Drosophila melanogaster: one gene and its partners. The protein of the gene in region 1 interacts with the protein of each later gene in a pairwise test. Each region holds a gene or a part of one and is shown in the gene's direction. Other genes may lie near its edges. The genes, in order: Cyp9f2, CG14325, ced-6 and CG10589.

Region 1 (5,108 bases):
CCGGATCCGGGCATCTTGTCGCTTTCGTTGAGGATGGTCTTCGCCGTGGAGAGCAGTGCAACGCAAGTGGATCCATAGCCGGGATTGGGACCCGTAACCCTCACGGTCAGTGTCTTTGTGGGCGGAGAGGTGTACTGATCGGTGGTCTCGGCTAGTTTTTCGGACTTGGGCCAGCCTGTGGCCTTCATGGTCATTCTGAAGAAGGAGCGCTCCATCCGCGCCTCACTGGGACCCTCGCGGGAAGCCATGCCGCCGGAGAAGACGGTGGGGTACTTAAGCAGCAGCTGGCGGCCAAAGGAGAACTTGGCCATAATGCCAATGATAGAGGCGAAGAGCACGACAACGCTGGCCGCAAACCATGAGGGATACGTCATGTAGGCCTGCATCTGAACGGGTCGCTTCTTCTCCAGTTCGTAAAGGAAACGCTGCGAGCGCATCACCACCGAGCGATCTGTTTCAGGGAACGGCAGGATCACCTTGTTGTCCACTTCCGCGGCACGGGAAAGCGGCGATCGTGACTTAAGAGCCGGATGAAAGTTGGGCAGACGCTCGGGAAACAACTTGCGCCGGATGGCCACAGACTCGCTCCGGTTGGCGATAGCGTGAATGGCGCTCTCCCAGGTGCCGGTGTTGAGTGCAGCACTGCCCGTTCCCTTGGTACCTCCCTTGACGCCCAGATGGACAAAGTTCTCCACTGAGTTGACCACGCCGTCGAAGTTCTTCTCCACGAAGGTGACTCCCATGTCGGCGGGAATGGAATCAAAGCCGCACGCACTGATCACGTACACGCCACGCTCCTTGGCGAGATCATGGTAGCGCAGCTGCATGGTTTCCATGTACTGTGGCTCTCCGCTTACGTCTACGTGATGCGTTCCCGCCTCGATGCAAGCCCTGACCACTCGCTCGCCGAAGAACCGATATGGTCCGGCCGTATTGACTAAAATGCGGCAGCGTTTGGCCATCTCTAGCAGTGACGCCTCGTTGTTCACGTCCGCGATGACGATCGGCGTTTGGGAGAGGTCTGTCTTGGACTTTGCACCCATCTCCCGCAGCACCGACTGCAGCTTCTCCTGGTTGCGTCCGGCGATGCCCCATTGCAGGCCCTTCAGCACGCTGACAGCCTCGAAGACGGTGTACTTTCCGGTAAACCCGGAGGCACCGAAGATTATGGCATCCAGTTTCTTAGCCGCCATTCCAGAGTCCACAGATATGCGACTATAATGATTTGACTAGAAATGTCTTATCACTTCCAGACCGAAAGGTAATTCGTCTGCTTCGGCCGACTGGCGAAATGTTAATAATGCTAATCGCACCGTATAAGAGCTGTATTTATTGAAGATAGTAGCGTCGTGACTGTACAAAACTGAATCGAACAGGTAAAGATCGATTGCAGATAGCAACAAGTGGCTAGTAACTCGGATAATGAAGTTGAAATGAAATAAAATATTTTTACTAGAAACTATTGAAAATGAAAATGCTTTGCGTCCTTTTTTATCGATGATAATTTAATTTATGGTGATGATGGTTTAATTTACATCCTAATACTTAAAATCCCTCAGATCAAATTGTTAGTTCTCGAACTACTACGCATAAACTTCGATAGCCAACAAGAAATCGATGAATTTTAAAACGATAAATTGGCCAAGTTTAAATATATGAATTTAATGAAGTTGTGTGCCATTAAAATAGAAAAAATATATATTAAAGAATTAGAAAACAGAATTTCGAAATATTCTGTTTCTATATTTTAAACATAATATTGGTATGCTCAGAGTCGTCAGCATTTTCTCCAACACGCCGTGATAATGAAATGATGAGTGATATTCTAAATCATTTGCGCTCAGAAATTTGTACATACTTGTGTGTATTACAGACAACAAGTATTTTATCAAATGCAGTACACGAAGCTTTGTTAGAAAGCTCTGCGTGGGGACAACAAAACGCTCCCGATTGTTTGTGGCGTAGTTAGTTATATTCTGGACGCTTAGATCGCCAAGCTAGGGTCAACATGTTGTGGGAGTTCTTCGCCCTATTTGCGATCGCTGCCGCCTTGTTCTACCGTTGGGCGTCCGCCAACAATGATTTCTTCAAGGATAGGGGCATCGCCTATGAAAAGCCAGTGCTCTACTTTGGCAACATGGCCGGCATGTTCCTGCGGAAGAGGGCCATGTTTGACATAGTCTGTGATCTCTACACCAAAGGCGGAAGTAAGAAGTGAGTTAAATTCATTGATCCGGATTTAATAAGTTGATTACCTAATATGCATCCGGCTCACTTGCACTTGCACTTAAAACACGTTTGGAACAAGTGTGTATCTACTGGCCTCCAGCATTGCGTACAAGCCTATATAAAATCGTATGTCAAGGTCAGGCAATCAGTGATCTATCTATACACACATTTAGTGGGTGCGGCTGCGTTCGACTACGTTTTGAATATACAATTACAGAAATTCAGAAATACTCTATTATATTTTGTTAAGTCTTTTATCTAAAGCAGTGTGTAACTGCCAAGATAATTGGCGAAATGCTTGGTTCTATTAGTTTAGTTTGCCATAATCTTATCGATTATACGACAGCTTTAAATGTTGTTTGTCTCGGACGGCAAACTTGATAGGAAAAATAATTGATAAAGCTCCTGAAAAGTGCTATAACGATAAGGTTATCTAATTTATTAATTAACTTCATATTGGGGCAACTCTTTGTATGACTTTACCCTTTTTGTTACTTTATAAACATGCAATCATTATTGTACTCAGCCTTTTCAATTGGATTTAATGTACATATGATTTATTTATAGACCAATACGAGAAATCCGCTTTATAAATTTATAGTTTTCCAAAAAGAAATCGAGATGGGTTAATTGAAAATTCGTCGGATAGGTAATGAACAACGCTAGCCATGCATAAACTCGAATTTCTGTTATCGTTTTCTAAACTTGTTGAGCGCACGATTAATAATTTCTGATTTGATTTATCAGTGTGTGACTCACAAAAAGCTTATCGGTCATTAACATTATTATTTTTTTTAGATTTTTTGGTATCTTTGAGCAGCGACAACCACTTTTAATGGTGCGCGACCCAGATCTTATCAAGCAGATAACCATAAAGGACTTCGATCACTTTATCAATCATCGCAATGTGTTTGCCACCAGCAGCGATGATGATCCACATGACATGAGTAACCTTTTCGGCAGCTCGCTGTTCTCCATGCGAGATGCTCGGTGGAAGGATATGCGAAGCACTCTGAGTCCGGCATTTACAGGCAGCAAAATGCGTCAGATGTTCCAGCTGATGAACCAGGTGGCCAAGGAGGCCGTGGACTGTCTTAAGCAGGATGATTCAAGGGTTCAGGAGAATGAACTGGACATGAAGGACTACTGCACACGATTCACCAATGATGTGATCGCCTCGACAGCCTTTGGACTGCAAGTGAACTCGTTCAAGGATCGCGAAAATACCTTCTATCAGATGGGAAAAAAGCTGACCACATTTACATTCCTGCAGAGCATGAAGTTCATGTTGTTCTTCGCATTGAAGGGTCTTAATAAGGTTGGCACAGCATACACACATATCAAAAAAATATATTCCTTAATTTTAATAATCCTTGTAGATCCTTAAGGTCGAGCTTTTCGATAGGAAAAGCACTCAGTATTTCGTGCGTCTGGTGCTCGATGCTATGAAATACCGACAGGAGCACAATATTGTACGTCCCGACATGATAAACATGCTGATGGAGGCTCGTGGTATCATCCAGACGGAGAAGACCAAGGCATCTGCCGTTCGCGAGTGGAGCGATCGCGACATTGTCGCCCAGTGTTTCGTGTTCTTCTTTGCTGGCTTCGAGACTTCGGCGGTGCTGATGTGCTTCACCGCTCACGAGCTAATGGAGAACCAGGATGTGCAGCAGAGGCTATACGAGGAGGTACAGCAAGTGGACCAAGACCTGGAGGGCAAAGAACTGACCTATGAGGCAATTATGGGCATGAAGTATCTGGATCAGGTCGTCAACGAGGTTCTGCGAAAGTGGCCGGCGGCAATTGCCGTCGATCGAGAATGCAACAAGGATATCACCTTCGATGTGGATGGCCAGAAAGTCGAGGTCAAGAAGGGCGATGTCATCTGGCTGCCTACATGCGGCTTCCATCGTGATCCCAAGTACTTTGAGAACCCTATGAAGTTCGATCCGGAACGTTTTAGCGATGAGAACAAGGAGTCTATTCAGCCATTCACATACTTCCCCTTTGGCCTGGGTCAACGCAACTGCATTGGTAAGTTGATTGATTCAAAATTGTTCTTCGAAAAAATGTAAAATGTATTTATTATAGGTTCCCGATTCGCTCTACTTGAAGCAAAGGCTGTTATCTACTATCTTTTGAAGGACTACCGCTTTGCCCCTGCCAAGAAATCCTGCATTCCACTAGAGCTCATTACTTCCGGTTTTCAGTTGTCACCCAAAGGCGGCTTTTGGATTAAACTTGTTCAAAGGAACTAATCTTATAAACGATCAAAATAATAATATGTTTTGTTGAATGTTATGTTTTAAAGAAGTTGACATTATTAAATTTAAACAATTAATGGTAATTTGTTTCTTTGTTTTTAATTTATACCAAAAATGATAAAAAGATAGCATATACTTATGTCGTGACTCTACAAAACTGAATCGAACAGGTAAAGATCGATTGCAGATAACAACGAGTGGCTCGTTTACACGGTAACTCTGATAATGAAGTTGAAATTAAATAAATAATTTTTACCAGAAACTATTGAAAATGAAAATGCTTGGCGGAGTTTTTATCGATGATATCACGTTTAATTTACATCCTAATACTTAAAATCCCTCAACTTAAATTGTTAGTTCTTGAACTACTACGCATAAACTTCGATAGCCAACATGAAATCGATTGCTTTTAAAACGATAATTTGGCCAAGATTAAATATTTAAATTTAATGAAGTTGTGTGCCATTAAAATAGAAAAAAATTATTAAAATTTATTAAAGAATTAGAAAACAAAATTTCGAAATATTTTGTCTCTATATTTTAAACATAAGATTGGTATGCTTTATAAGTGCATAAGATACATGCAATTAATTTGTTTACATTTGCAACCGG
Region 2 (4,236 bases), 5.2 Mb from region 1:
GTCAGGCTTCAGGAAACCCAAAGAGCGGAGCGGCAACCGCCCAATGCGGAGTAAGGGTCGGTGATGATCTTGCCAATGCTCGAGCCGGAGTATTCGCCTCCACTCCAGGCGCTGGGGGTCCGGTCACCAAGGGAGTTTATGGAGCGGTCAACGCGTAAGTCCAGTAAAAGTTCTTAAAAATGCTAAAATAAATATTATAATTTTGTAAACTTTCTTCTCTTCATCCCACAGCAATGGTCATGCACTCTCACTGCAGCATGGCCACATCGAGGGCGTGGGCAGCACTACCACTGCCGCAGCCCAAGCCAATCTCTTCCAGAGCAATAACGCCGCTCTGAATGCCACTGCATTTCACAGTCATAGCCGATCGCACGATCAGTTTGGCGGAGGACTCAATTTGCAAACTGGAACGGGTCACCAGGCGGCAGTGGGGGTCACTAGGGTTCCTCAGTTCGGCATGACCGCCGTCCAGGCTTCTGGCACAGCAAATCTGTATACCTCTCCAAGTGGCAATCTCAACCTCAACGCCACCGGAAGTGCCAATCATCACCTCAGGGGACCGATGCGCGGCAAGTCCGATTTCGGCACCGGAGTTAACTTGCGATATAATTTTTAAATCCTTTATAGTTTTATTGAAACTATTCATAGTCACATTTAGTACTTGCACGTAGCCAAGAAAAGAAACAAGTGCCGTATTTATATGCATTATATCGAAGATTAAATAAACCATGCTATTAAAAGCGCTTTCTACTTGGTAACACGCAATATCATTGAACTCTTTAAACTCCTGTCAAAGTGCACATCGATTTCCCATATTTCATCGAGTGAAATTCTACACAATAACCGAGCCACTTGGGGAAATCCTTTGGGGTTCGAAAACCCATCTACAGACGAACGTAGACCATGAGAAACAAATTTTTGACTAGTCAGCTTTTTGGCATATTTCTTTTTTTTTTTGCACCAATGTGTGCAAGCACCGCAACCGTTAAGTGCCATAAAAATAATTCAAAATAAATTGCTTTACATAAAAATTTGGTTTCGGCAGAGCAGCGCGCCCAACTGTTTTATAAGGTGTATAATTTGGCCATAATAATGCGCATCATGGCAGCATCCATCGCGGGGTTGGTTATTAATTCTCGGTCGACGCGTCGTCGAGCCCGAGACATAAATAACGCGTTTTATGCGTGAATATACTTTGCATTTTTCGCAGACACGGCGGAGTCCTAGTTAAGCCGTAAAAATTACACCAGCCAGTCAAGAAGCCCCGCCACGACTTTGACTTCCTCGAAGGACCAAGGCAAGTCATGTCAGCTGGCCTAATCCCCAGGTAGATATCCGCCTTGATTGGCCGCAATGAAAGATGCCAAGTCAATACTTTTGATACTCCCAGGGGTCCTGTGAGGACCGGTGGGCGATGGTGAGTGGGATAAACGCTGACTTGTAATGTCATGTAATTAGGGTAATAATCGGCTTGCCACTTGAGGTTTTATCCCGCAGCCCAAAACGACTTTGTTATGCAAATCTTTCTGTTGGGAAAGCAAAGATATTCGAGGAAAATTGGAAAGCTCAAATTGACCAGACTTTAAGTCATCTTTAAATGTGATGGTTTTTGGGTAACACAATCGTATTCGGAAAGTGCTCTCACCGCAACCTTTTGTTATAGTTGAATATCAATAAAGGACCTTCGCTGGCAACCGTTTCCTGGCAGCCAAGAAGCCGAACTAATAAACAATATTCAATTTTCAACTATATGAGTAACTGGAGTTTGCATATTTTGAGAGTCTAGATTTGTTAACATGGATTTCACGTACTGCGAATTCCCCAGCACCGTTTCCATTGACACCTTCAAGGCCTATTTCAATCTCACCGATGTCAAGTTGCCCAAAGTCGGCGATAAATCAGTGGACACAATCCAGATCCCCAGCGAAGACCAGGAGGACCAGACCAATCAAGCGAAAAGTCTGCGACATCTTGTTCTCGATTCCATTGTCGAGAATTGGAGTGGTGAGCATTTAACTATAAACTTGACAAGAAATCGCAAAAATTGGAATTTAGAATTCACTTTAAAATTCCTATCACTTTAAAATTCGTTGCTTAAGATGCATGAATATGTTTGTTTTTAAAAATGATGTTTACATTTTCTAAAAGCTAGATAAAGCTTAGATATTTTTAGTTAGAAAGTAGCCAGACTGACAGTCCTTGCCGAACTGATAAGATCCAGACATTGCTCATCCGCAGAGCTGCCGCTGTACCGGCAGCTGGGCCGTCGCGAGGACCGCAACTACCTCCTTAGCCATCTGGACACGCAGCTGCCGCTGCAGCTGCTCAGCGCCCACATTCGCGAGGACTTCTTCTGGCAGCGCTGCTACGGCCACCGTTGGAGGAGCGCCCCACTTCAGGCGCGGGGCAGGGAGCGGCCCTGGATCAACATCTACATGGAGCGACATGTGCAGGAGTTTATTGAAAACATGCCGACGGGCGACTATGAGCAGGATGGCAACGTTCAGGTCGTCCTGGACATCTGTGCGGCGTACATAAATCAGTTGGAGATAAGTTTCCTTCAACCCGCCCCGCCCACAACCGATGCGAATGGTGAGTCTCGAATGGGAAACACCCTGGGTTTACTTGTTGCAATGGCATTCTTCATACTTCAAGCATTATGCTTGTCCCAACTTTGTCAAAGTTTATTTCGGAATATTTATCAAATTAGCGAGGGTATGAAATATTCGAAATTCCCCACCCATCTACAGATCACATTCCGCTTGATTACCTACTGAGCAATCTGCCGGATTTACGCCAACTGCGACTGAGTTACAGCACCAAGACGGTGGGTTGCAATTACCAAATGGGCTGCAACCAACTGACTGTCAGGGATATTCTACACTTGACCAAGGGACTCAGTCAGTGCCACGAGTTGAGGACGTTCTGGTGAGGACCGGCTGCTCCACAAAAGTGCCTTCTGCAATTCTTTTGAGTTTCAGCCTGCACAACACGAAGTTAATGCCATATCAGTTACGATTCCTGGCTCACAGTTTGGATAAAGGATGTCACCATCTGACCGAAATGTCCTTGCTGCACTGTGCAGTGGGAGATGCGGGAATCCGCTGCTTCTTGGAGACGTGCGGCAAGGAGTCCTTCGGCACTCTCACTGTCCTCGATTTGACTAATAACAAGATCAGTAAGTACATAAATAATTGGCATTTCATATCTTGCCTCATGAAGTATTTATATTCCAGCTGAAGAAGGGGCTTACATTCTTAGTCGCACCCTGAGGCATGTTCCCCTCGAGAAACTGGTGCTTCGCTTGAATCCCATTCAAAGTGACGGAGCTGCGGCCATCTTCAACACACTTCAGGTCATGCCCATCAAGGAGTTGGATCTGGGAACTTGTGGAATTACAGAAACGATTACCAAATTGTTTATGATGCTGATTTGCCAACACACGAGCCTGTTGGAAATAGATCTGTCGAATAATTCCTTGGGAGAGGACTTTGGCAAGCATTTGATGAAGATAATTAGCTGCAACAAGCTTCTTGAGAGGTTGGACCTTCGAAATACAGGTCTATCGTTAGATATGCGTAGGAAATTTCAAGAATTTCTGCTTAAAAATGTGGATCGTAAGAAGCACGAGGCCTTGAAGCAAAAGCAACGGGATAAGTTTAAGGCCATGATGCAGCTATAAATACTATTAGATATTTGTGTTTTACAACTGAACATTATGATAAATAAATATTTAGCAAAAAATAAATTCCAACTGTTTCCGCCCGGGATTGAACCGGGGGCCTTCCGCGTGTTAGGCGGATGTGATAACCACTACACCACGGAAACTCGGATGACGAACGTTTTCCTCATAGACAATTTAAGACAAGTTAGCAAATATATCTGTTATAATAAAAGCACAAAGTAATTATAAAATGTAATTATAGGAAATAATTTAAAAAGTGCACGCTTATATAGTGGTTTGCCTCTATCCCACTCTCCTCCCAATGGTATTGCAACAACTTAAGCAGCAAGCCGTGAAGCTACATACCTACCTCGAAGCTTTCAAGCCAACTTTCATTAACCCTCGACCTTGTTGACTTAAGCCAACAAAAACAATGGTAACCCCATCAAGATTGCCAAGGACCCAACTCTCTGAACCCATCTGTCCTTTTCTAATGGCCTGGGCTAGCAACAGCGACAAAAACAACAACCAACTAAGTGGAAACACTTGAAAATGAGTTGGAAAAAAGGTTA
Region 3 (4,867 bases), on another chromosome or scaffold:
AGGCGTAATATGGCACAGCGGCCACCAATGGGTTAATGGCCCAAAGAAACCCCCAACAACGTGAAAACAAAACGCAACGCAAAGCGAAACACAACAAAACAAAAACTAATTGGAAAACCAATATCGAGGAGAGCACGACTATCAGGTCGAAAATCGGGAGATACGTGGGCTACAGCACAGATATAACTTACATATATGCATGTAGAAGAGGGATGGGTGATAGGGGTAGGGGGAGTTGGGGCTAACTTACTTTGGAGTTTCAGTGTGGAAGTTGAATTAGAAGTAGAAGAGGACGAAGCGCTGGTGGAAATATCGGGCACATTTTCCATGTGCACAGCTTTAACAACCAATTTTAGAATGCACTACTCTCTTAGCGGTTGGCACATTTATTTCGCTTTATTGAGAATGCATTTTCATTTTTGCACACCAGCTCGCACGCACACACACACAGGTGACATGGGCGCTCGCACACGCACACAGCGACACCGAAATCGCAGAACTCTGGGATATCGAAAAAAGGTAAACAAAACTTTTTCACTGCCTCCCTGTGCGCAAGCCGTGGAGTCCCTTGGCGGATTTCGATGTGCTTCAGCTGGACGATGCATAAAATGCAACAAAAATCAATAATATCACCGTTTCACACACGAAATTATTAAAAAAAAACGATAGCGAAAATATTTTGAGCTACTCCAAAACTGTGTGCATGTCAAACTGTCAAACATATGACGGCAAAGTTGCCAGATGTTGCAAAGGGCGAGCTCCCACAAAACTTAACGACAATGATTTCGAATTTTTTAAAATTGATAACTTATTATACAAGAAAGCAAGAATACTTTACAAGCCAATAACCTTGTAATCTTAACCTTACAAGTCTATGTTTGATATAAATTAGTTTAAACTATATCTAACCATCTGGCAGCACCCCAAGTGTTCCACTTATCGGCTTATCGGTCAAGATGACAACTCCAACATTCAATTATCGGAAATCGGGCACTATATTTAAAATATCGTATTGAATTTCAAATCCGGGTTTTGTTAGTCATTTTTTATACGTTTTATAATTATTTTCTTTCTGTTGAATTTTAAACTCCGATGTATCCCGCCGTGTCCGCTGTTTACCGCCGACGTCCAGCTGACGGTTCCACCCTTCTTTAACTTACATATGTATATGTACATTTCAACGAATCTAGTATACCCTTTCAGTCTACGAAAATTTTAATCTTAGTTCAATCAAATGATGTATATTAGTATATAGGTACATAGTCGATGGCCTCGGTTATATTATCTTAAATAAATAAATAATGAAGGATTGATGAATTTATAATGCATATTTGTCTTAAAAACGCTGAGATTGGTTTGCTTGGACGTGAGCAGGAAGTTCTATTCCTGCGACTTTTGTTAGAACCCAAGGAAAATATTACATACCATTCTAGTTCTTAGCTTAGTTCAATCATAAAGTTATATGTCAAAATCCTTTAAGAGGAGCATGCAAATGGGAAGTAAAATGGGCGTAAAATGTAAATGACATTTTGTGTAATTCGCATATGTACATTTGTATATTGTAAGCTATCAAAATATATGTATGTTTGTATGTATGTACAGCCCTTGAGACCGCCCATCATTGATAGGCAACGACTTTCGCCGAACTTTCCTTGGATTTTTCCAGCAGCCGACCCCGCGGTTTTCCGACCCCGCCTCGCTTCCCTCCGCTTCCCGCGACCAGCGGAAGTCTCGGGGCTCTGGCTCTATCAAAATCAACGGGCGGGGCGACTGAAGCGAACACAGAATAATTGCCATAGCTGTGTGCCAGTGCCAGTCAGTGCCAGCAGTTTGAAATCGACGACAACATCAGCAGCAACAAGCATTGCAACAACAGCGACGGCGCGGTGATAAGTCGGCTGCTGGCTGTATATTGCCGCTGGCTTGTTATTTTATTGTCGCTTTTGTTGCACATTGAAAATAATACACAAAATAATTGAATTACTCGAAATGTGTGCATGTCCGTGTGCGTGCCACTTGTGTATGTATGTGTGTGTGTCGTGCCTTTATGGGGGCGTTCAGGGCCCCGCTGATAAGCGATGATCAAGAGGTAAACGAGATAAGCGCTGCTCATTTGGAAGCACAGGCAACACGCGCTAAATGAACCCGCCAACTTGATAATCCGCGATCCCAGAAAACAAAATATTTGTCTTCTGAATTATCTTGTAATGATAATTTGACAGTTATTGTATATTAAGAAGGTCAATGTTTACTTATGGGAAGCATAATAAAGCTGAAATTAGAATTTTATGTTTATATCTATAGTTAGGATAATATGATATTCTCTCAATATTGCTACATTACATTGCTGGCTATAATTTAGGCATTGGAATTAATCCGAATCGCGTTGCTTGTTTGATTTGCAGCTTTGAGTTTCTTATTTACATATGTATATGCATTTTGTGGCACTTTGACAGTACTCCCCACTTTTGATTTCCTACAGTGTTCCCCGTGCTCGTCGACATGTGATAAGGAGCGTGAGGTGGAAACGTGACTCTCGGCGGGGCGGGCATCGGCACGTAAATTATGCTGATGACACCGGCTCCGCACCCAGGCTCTGAAAAAGCTGAAAAGCCCGAAAAACTGAGCGAGCGATTGCGCTTGAAAAATACCAGCACGTTCCTACGAGCTGCAAAGCAACAAGAATAACTGGCTTCGGCTGCCATTTTATTGCAGCGCACAAATATTTACAATACCATTTAATGACATTTCGCCTTATAAAACAATGAGTGAGAAACGTATTTTCTGGTTTCATGCATTTTATTTGGCTAATTGGGCCTTTGAACTCTATTGCTTTGATGATGAAAACGACGCCAAGATAACGTCATGTGCGACGAAACAAGCATTCGAAGTCACGCCCCCTCAGGACTCCCCTCAGCGCGCCCAACGAGCATACGCAGTCAACGCCCCTTGGCGACGATAACAATTCAAAAGAGACCCCGATCAAAATGCAATAGCGAGTTTTTAAAAGCCATTATTACTTGCAAATGGGGGGCAGATCGAACGCCCCCTCAATAAGTGCACATTGAACCATGTTGTTGGTGCCAGTTTCGCTGAGCCCTTCTAGGTTCTCCGTAGTACGAAAAATATCTATGTACTTATGTATAAAGCCAAGTCTCGTAGACATTTCTTCCAAGAAACACAATGTCGTTAAACAAACCTTTTAAAAATCCACATATGACTTCATTAGTTTGTTGCAAGCTTATGAATACATTCAATGTAGTTTTAATGAGTGGAAGCGGTTTAACTAGCAAGGTTGCAGTTTGAAAAGCCCAAAAATAGCGTTGCCCTTTGTTGCATAGGTCACCCTGTTGCTCCACGGAAAATCTCTCAATGAAAAGCCGTTCGGAGTCTTCCTTTTGGCCGGCGGAAAGGAAACTGGTAATAAAATTACAGCGGGAGAGAAAATAATAGCTGCAATATCTGCTGTCGGCGGCGCAGCTAGCGGCCTCTAACTGTAAATGGCCAATATTAAGCGGAGAGAAAAGCCGAAACAGGAGCTTAAAAGTCCGGCGAAGAGATAAAGAGAGAGAGATCGCGGTGACAGAGAGCGGGTGTGGGAAAATTGTACGTATGCCCAGATGCAGCGAAACGACAAGGAGAGTACTGTGGGCCAAACAAAGTTAAAATTCCCTGGGCCAGGAGGAATGCCTGAAATGATCTTATTAGTAAAGTTTTCCGTACAGAAACTTACTTGATCTTTAAAAAGCTGTTTATTCCCGTTTAAGGGTTTCAACCTCATTTACAGCCTTTAATATCGTTTACCTAGAAACCGAACAGCTATTAAATATTAAGTACCATAAGCTATTTGTGGTTTTCAGGCTTTCACGCCAATTTATTTTGCTAAACGGCTTTTGCATTCCACAGTGCCTGCATCCAAACTGAAACTACAATTGCAGTGGCCCCACACACACACATACCCTCATCACGCACACTCCTTTATGTCAAGCCGGTTTTATTTTGGTTAGTGAAGAGAGAGGGGCGGTTAAAGGGGAAGGGACTGCAGTTAAAATGTGGCAAAATGGAAAAGGAAAATGTGTACTAGAAAAATGCAAGGCATGCCACCAAACAATAACAACACCACTGCAGCATCGAAAGCAACAATTGGACACCGAATAACGACAACAATAATCAAATCCTGGTACATTATTATATGGTCGACTTGGGGAACCAGTTTTATTGCAATTTGTATTTGAAGCGGCCAAACAGCCCCAGAAATTACGTATTACGAAAATAAATAAATTTTTCTCTAAGCTGCTTCTGCTTCTTCGTCTTGTGCGGCTAATAACAAAAACAACGGCAATGCTGTGTCTTTGTTTTTACGTCAGGTCGAGATTACAAGCATACATATAGCTATAAGCAGGTTACATGTGTGTGAGCGCACTTCCCCCACCTGTTGCAGTAATTTTAATTGGCCAAAACCATTTCGGTGGAATCTCGAGACAGTGCCGTATGTTCTGGCATTTGTGGAAAATCATTTTTCTGGCAAAATGTAAAACAATTGAAAAGCAACAGGTAAACCAGCAGAAATACCCACACACACACATGCGGGCATTACTAAGCAGACATATGTTTGTGTGGCAGTGAGGCTCCAACCGCAAAAGAGAAAACTACAGCCGATCACGTTCTCACCTACACAAAACTCGTAGGTCATTTTGCTGGGGCACAACGACTTCAAGTGCATATGCCCTCATATTAGCTAAAAAATAAATCCTTTAATTTTCGGTAATATTCGGTTTTTTTTTTAAATCAACAAGCATTAAAATGAATAGTTCAATTTTTATATTATTTTTAAATGAACTTAAAATAAATTTTTAGTATAGCGTTT
Region 4 (3,617 bases), on another chromosome or scaffold:
TATAGGGAAGCACTTGGAAGTGTTGGAATTGCAAGACCTACAGCTACAGTATTACTTATACCATTAGGAAGCACATCTGTCCAGCGTATTGCTACATATATATATACAAAGAACCTTTCGTTGCTCGTATACTATAAACTTAATGTTAAATCACAGTGGCGAGATTTGATTTTGACGCCTGCCCCAGCGGTTCACAACCGACCCAGTGCAGACGTGCGCCTGCAACAGCCAAATAGGATCCCCAGGGACCTCGGATCGGGATCAACCAGTTCATCTGGGCGGGCAGAAGCTGAAGTAGGGGAAAAGCTGGCAGTGCAGGGAGTAGAAGCGCTTGGGATCGGTTTTCATATCGAAGCCGTCCACCTTGATCACGTTCCACTGGTTTTTCATGTGGGCATAGCTGAAGGACACCTGGTCCTGGAACGTATCCTGGCGTATGAACTCCATGGGCTCCAAATGCGAGTGGAAGTTGTCCACCACGGTTAGAGGAACTTTCAGAAGGTGTTCTGTATATAAAATAATATATATATAAGTTCAGGGTCACTTTGGCTTACTCCGCACAAACTCACCAATAATAAAACCCATTGTGACATCATCCGGAAAACGTATCTTGTCGCCAATGCTGATAAACTTGCCACCACCTGCTATGGGTAGCATTTTTAAAGTCAGGGCTCGACTGAGGCAGAAGCCAGCGCCGCCAGTGGCGAACCAGAAGGTTATCTTCTTGTTTGTTGTCGTGTTCTTCTGCAGGTCGAAAGAAAGTGGAGAAGAGGGCCAAGATTAACGGAAGAACTGGTTCATGAATGGGTAGCCCAAAAAAAGAGGATGACTAAACCAAAGGCTAAACCCAAATAAATATCCTTTTTTTTATCTTCGTCTTATTTCTGGTTTTTGGCAATGGCCCAGAGAAAATTGACTCGAAATGAAAACCGAAAAAGAAGCTTAATACCGAAACGTGGCTTGATTAATTGACCATGTAAATGGACATGTGCGAGCTGGAAACTTAATACATGGGTCTGGACCAAAAGTAAGCCGAGACTCGACAGGATCTTTCTCCCGCAAATGAAGCGTAAAGTTTGGGGTTTTTAATTATGCACGCTGCAGCGATCAGGGCTGGATTGGTTTGGTGTGCCAGATTTTGAATGGATTTCTGAGCACGCAGTTTACCTGGTTGCTTTTGCTCACATCCCTGGCAAACCTGGCTAAACCGATAAAACTATGGCCTGTACATTCATTACGGGATCAGCTCGCGGTATATCAAATGGATCGGACTGAAAAACGGGTTCAAATTCGGACTCAAACTGGGACTCGTATACAGACTGCTGCTGCTATTGCTATTGCTATTGCTATTGCTGTTACTCTTTTGCCGCGCCAGATCATATCGGTTATTAATGATAGCTTGCGCTGGCAGCTGGAAGCCAAATGGCGGCATAGACAAATGGCCCTGGTGGTAACATAAATAACGGCCACGGTTCGGCTTTTGGGCCGGGCCAGAAGATGGAGAAAGGCGATCGCAGTCAGGCTTGTAATTACGAACTATATAGGAAAATATGCAAAAATAACTGGCATTTGCACTTACGCTGTCCAAGTGGATCTCCAGCGGCGACGAGATGCTCGGCTTGCCCAGATACCAATCCACACTGGGGCTATACTCGTCCAGCAGTTTGACCAGCCTCGGCACATTGACATAGTTGTCATCGTCGAAGTGACAGAACCACCTGGAAAACAGTATCAGAGTTAAACACATTCGAATTCGAGTTCACTCAAACTAAAATTCTTATATTTCTTTTACTATATTTGAACAATTAAAAACGTGCAAAAATGCCAGCTCATTTGGATTTAACCCTAGAGGAAATGACCAGGATTGCTTTGGGTGTGCCCGAGTTAACCCACGTAAATGTGGCTGTACTCCAAAGTCTTTTGAATGTCCTTCTCAAGAAACTGAACTGTCAGAATGATATGGTAAGGATAAGTGGCTTCGAGGGCAAGTGTATGGAGCGCATTCTCGAGCAATCCAAAATATCTCCACTGCCCTTCGACGTGGAGGCTATTGTTCCAATTTCCGAGCAATTGGATAAAGTTCAAGAGTTGGACAAACGCATCAAGCAGCTGGAGTGCAAGTTGGAGTGTCACTTTCAGCAGATTCGCATTTGCAACAAGGCCAAGGACAAGAAGTACAAGATCAACCAGGCCGAACAGTACGCCTCTCCTTGCGAGGATCTGTGCACCGTTTGCGATGAGGACAACAAGATCGCATGCAGTCTGCTGGCCAACATGGACTTCATGAAAAAGCTAATGCGACGTATAGCCACACCCATTCTGGACCGAATGGAAGAGGTCAGCCACAAGCTGGAGAAGTTCTACCTCACACTTGAGGCTTTTCTTAAGCAAACCGAAGCTTTATTTAATCGTTTGGAAATAGTCAAGCAATGTGTGGTGGAGATCGAAGGTCTGAGGACTCTTGTTCAGGAATACAACCTTACTTTTCTGGGAACCATGGAGGAACTGCAGGATATGCTCGACAGCAAGCTGGATAAGGTGCATATGCCTGCTCTTAAGAAGTATATACGCGATCGCTTCGATGATATAGATCGCCGGCTGAGATTGATTGAGGATAAGGATGCATGTCCCAGGGCCGCTGGATTTATCAATACGGGGCTATCTTGTCTATCCTGTAATAGTCCCAAAGTGGGTGTCGACGTCGGTCCTCAAACCATGGGACTATTCCCGGACGCTCCGGTCAGGCACCTGCCTCCCAAGTTAACCGGATCACCGGTAAATTGTCAGAAGATCGTGGTCTGTAGATCTGTGGAGAAGGAACCTACCCTAATGGTGCGAGTAAACAACCTTGATCTGAGTGTCCTCTCCCAACGTCTTGCTCGTCCTGCCTCTGGCAAAGTCTGCAAGTTGCCCGAAGCTAATGACGCCATCTATGGCGTTCGTAATTCCTGTATATCCGGTCAGGACCACTACCCAGTATAACTTACAGCTAGTCGCCATCCAAATCGATTAGTTTCCGCAATAAAGAATACAACTCAAGGCTGTGTCCGTTAAGCCGCATATAAAAAGTGCACTAATTTAGATTGCAATTACCCGGGTTGAAGGTAAGAGCTATGTCTGCAAAGCCCAGAGTGCAGCTGCAGTTTTTATAGTGACAAACGATCAGCCATATCCGGTAGCCCACGGTGGACTAATGATGGCATTAAGCGGCAGCTGAAAGGTCCGCGCTGACCATCATTATCGTAGGCTTCGCTATGGGTGCAGTTCCCCTTTCGTTGAGGGGATCCCCTTAAAGATGATATTGGTAACGCGGGAATTTACTTGGATTCCGCAAAGGGGAGGCTCGATAAAGAGAAATTTATACACTGCAATTCCGGGTAATCAGATTTAGTACGCTTTCTGCTTAAATTTTGGCTGCAATATTGTGGATATCTAGCGGACAGGTATCTGTTAAAATAAGGACTTACATTGAATGGATATTAAGGGTAACTACTAGAAGCTAAAACCAATAAATGGTTCAAAAGAAATGTATATTTCTGTACATGTGTAGAGTATCATCTTCTTCGACTTGCCAAGTACATTTCTGGGGATTCGCGACTTTCGCCGAGCTCGTAAGT

What was found.
Region 2: the proteins of Cyp9f2 (region 1) and CG14325 interact in a two-hybrid assay, tested with the Drosophila melanogaster proteins (one large-scale study listed by BioGRID).
Region 3: the proteins of Cyp9f2 (region 1) and ced-6 interact in a two-hybrid assay, tested with the Drosophila melanogaster proteins (one large-scale study listed by BioGRID).
Region 4: the proteins of Cyp9f2 (region 1) and CG10589 interact in a two-hybrid assay, tested with the Drosophila melanogaster proteins (one large-scale study listed by BioGRID).

What each region holds. Positions count from the first base shown.
Region 1 is NT_033777.3:12,402,809-12,407,916, reverse strand, and holds Cyp9f2 (cytochrome P450 9f2), read left to right. Parts: upstream 1-1,888; 5' UTR 1,889-2,008; coding exon 2,009-2,214; intron 2,215-3,027; coding exon 3,028-3,547; intron 3,548-3,608; coding exon 3,609-4,266; intron 4,267-4,323; coding exon 4,324-4,490; 3' UTR 4,491-4,577; downstream 4,578-5,108. Other genes in the region: CG5167 (uncharacterized protein), read right to left, coding at 1-1,193; Sol1, read right to left, coding at 5,037-5,108. UniProt on the Drosophila melanogaster protein: May be involved in the metabolism of insect hormones and in the breakdown of synthetic insecticides.
Region 2 is NT_033777.3:17,625,331-17,629,566, forward strand, and holds CG14325 (uncharacterized protein), read left to right. Parts: upstream 1-1,796; coding exon 1,797-2,004; intron 2,005-2,238; coding exon 2,239-2,592; intron 2,593-2,750; coding exon 2,751-2,928; intron 2,929-2,981; coding exon 2,982-3,178; intron 3,179-3,236; coding exon 3,237-3,682; downstream 3,683-4,236. Other genes in the region: AttD (Attacin-D), read left to right, coding at 1-154, 232-616.
Region 3 is NT_033778.4:9,441,895-9,446,761, reverse strand, and holds the start of ced-6 (ced-6), read left to right. Parts: upstream 1-1,824; 5' UTR 1,825-2,078; coding exon 2,079-2,089; intron 2,090-4,867. Other genes in the region: Camta (Calmodulin-binding transcription activator), read right to left, coding at 251-329. UniProt on the Drosophila melanogaster protein: Plays a role in axon pruning in larval mushroom body neurons during metamorphosis. Plays a role in the infiltration of glial cell processes into mushroom body lobes and the subsequent engulfment of degenerating axon branches.
Region 4 is NT_037436.4:20,926,130-20,929,746, forward strand, and holds CG10589 (uncharacterized protein), read left to right. Parts: upstream 1-1,718; 5' UTR 1,719-1,821; coding exon 1,822-2,982; 3' UTR 2,983-3,061; downstream 3,062-3,617. Other genes in the region: fng (fringe), read right to left, coding at 271-506, 570-744, 1,580-1,718.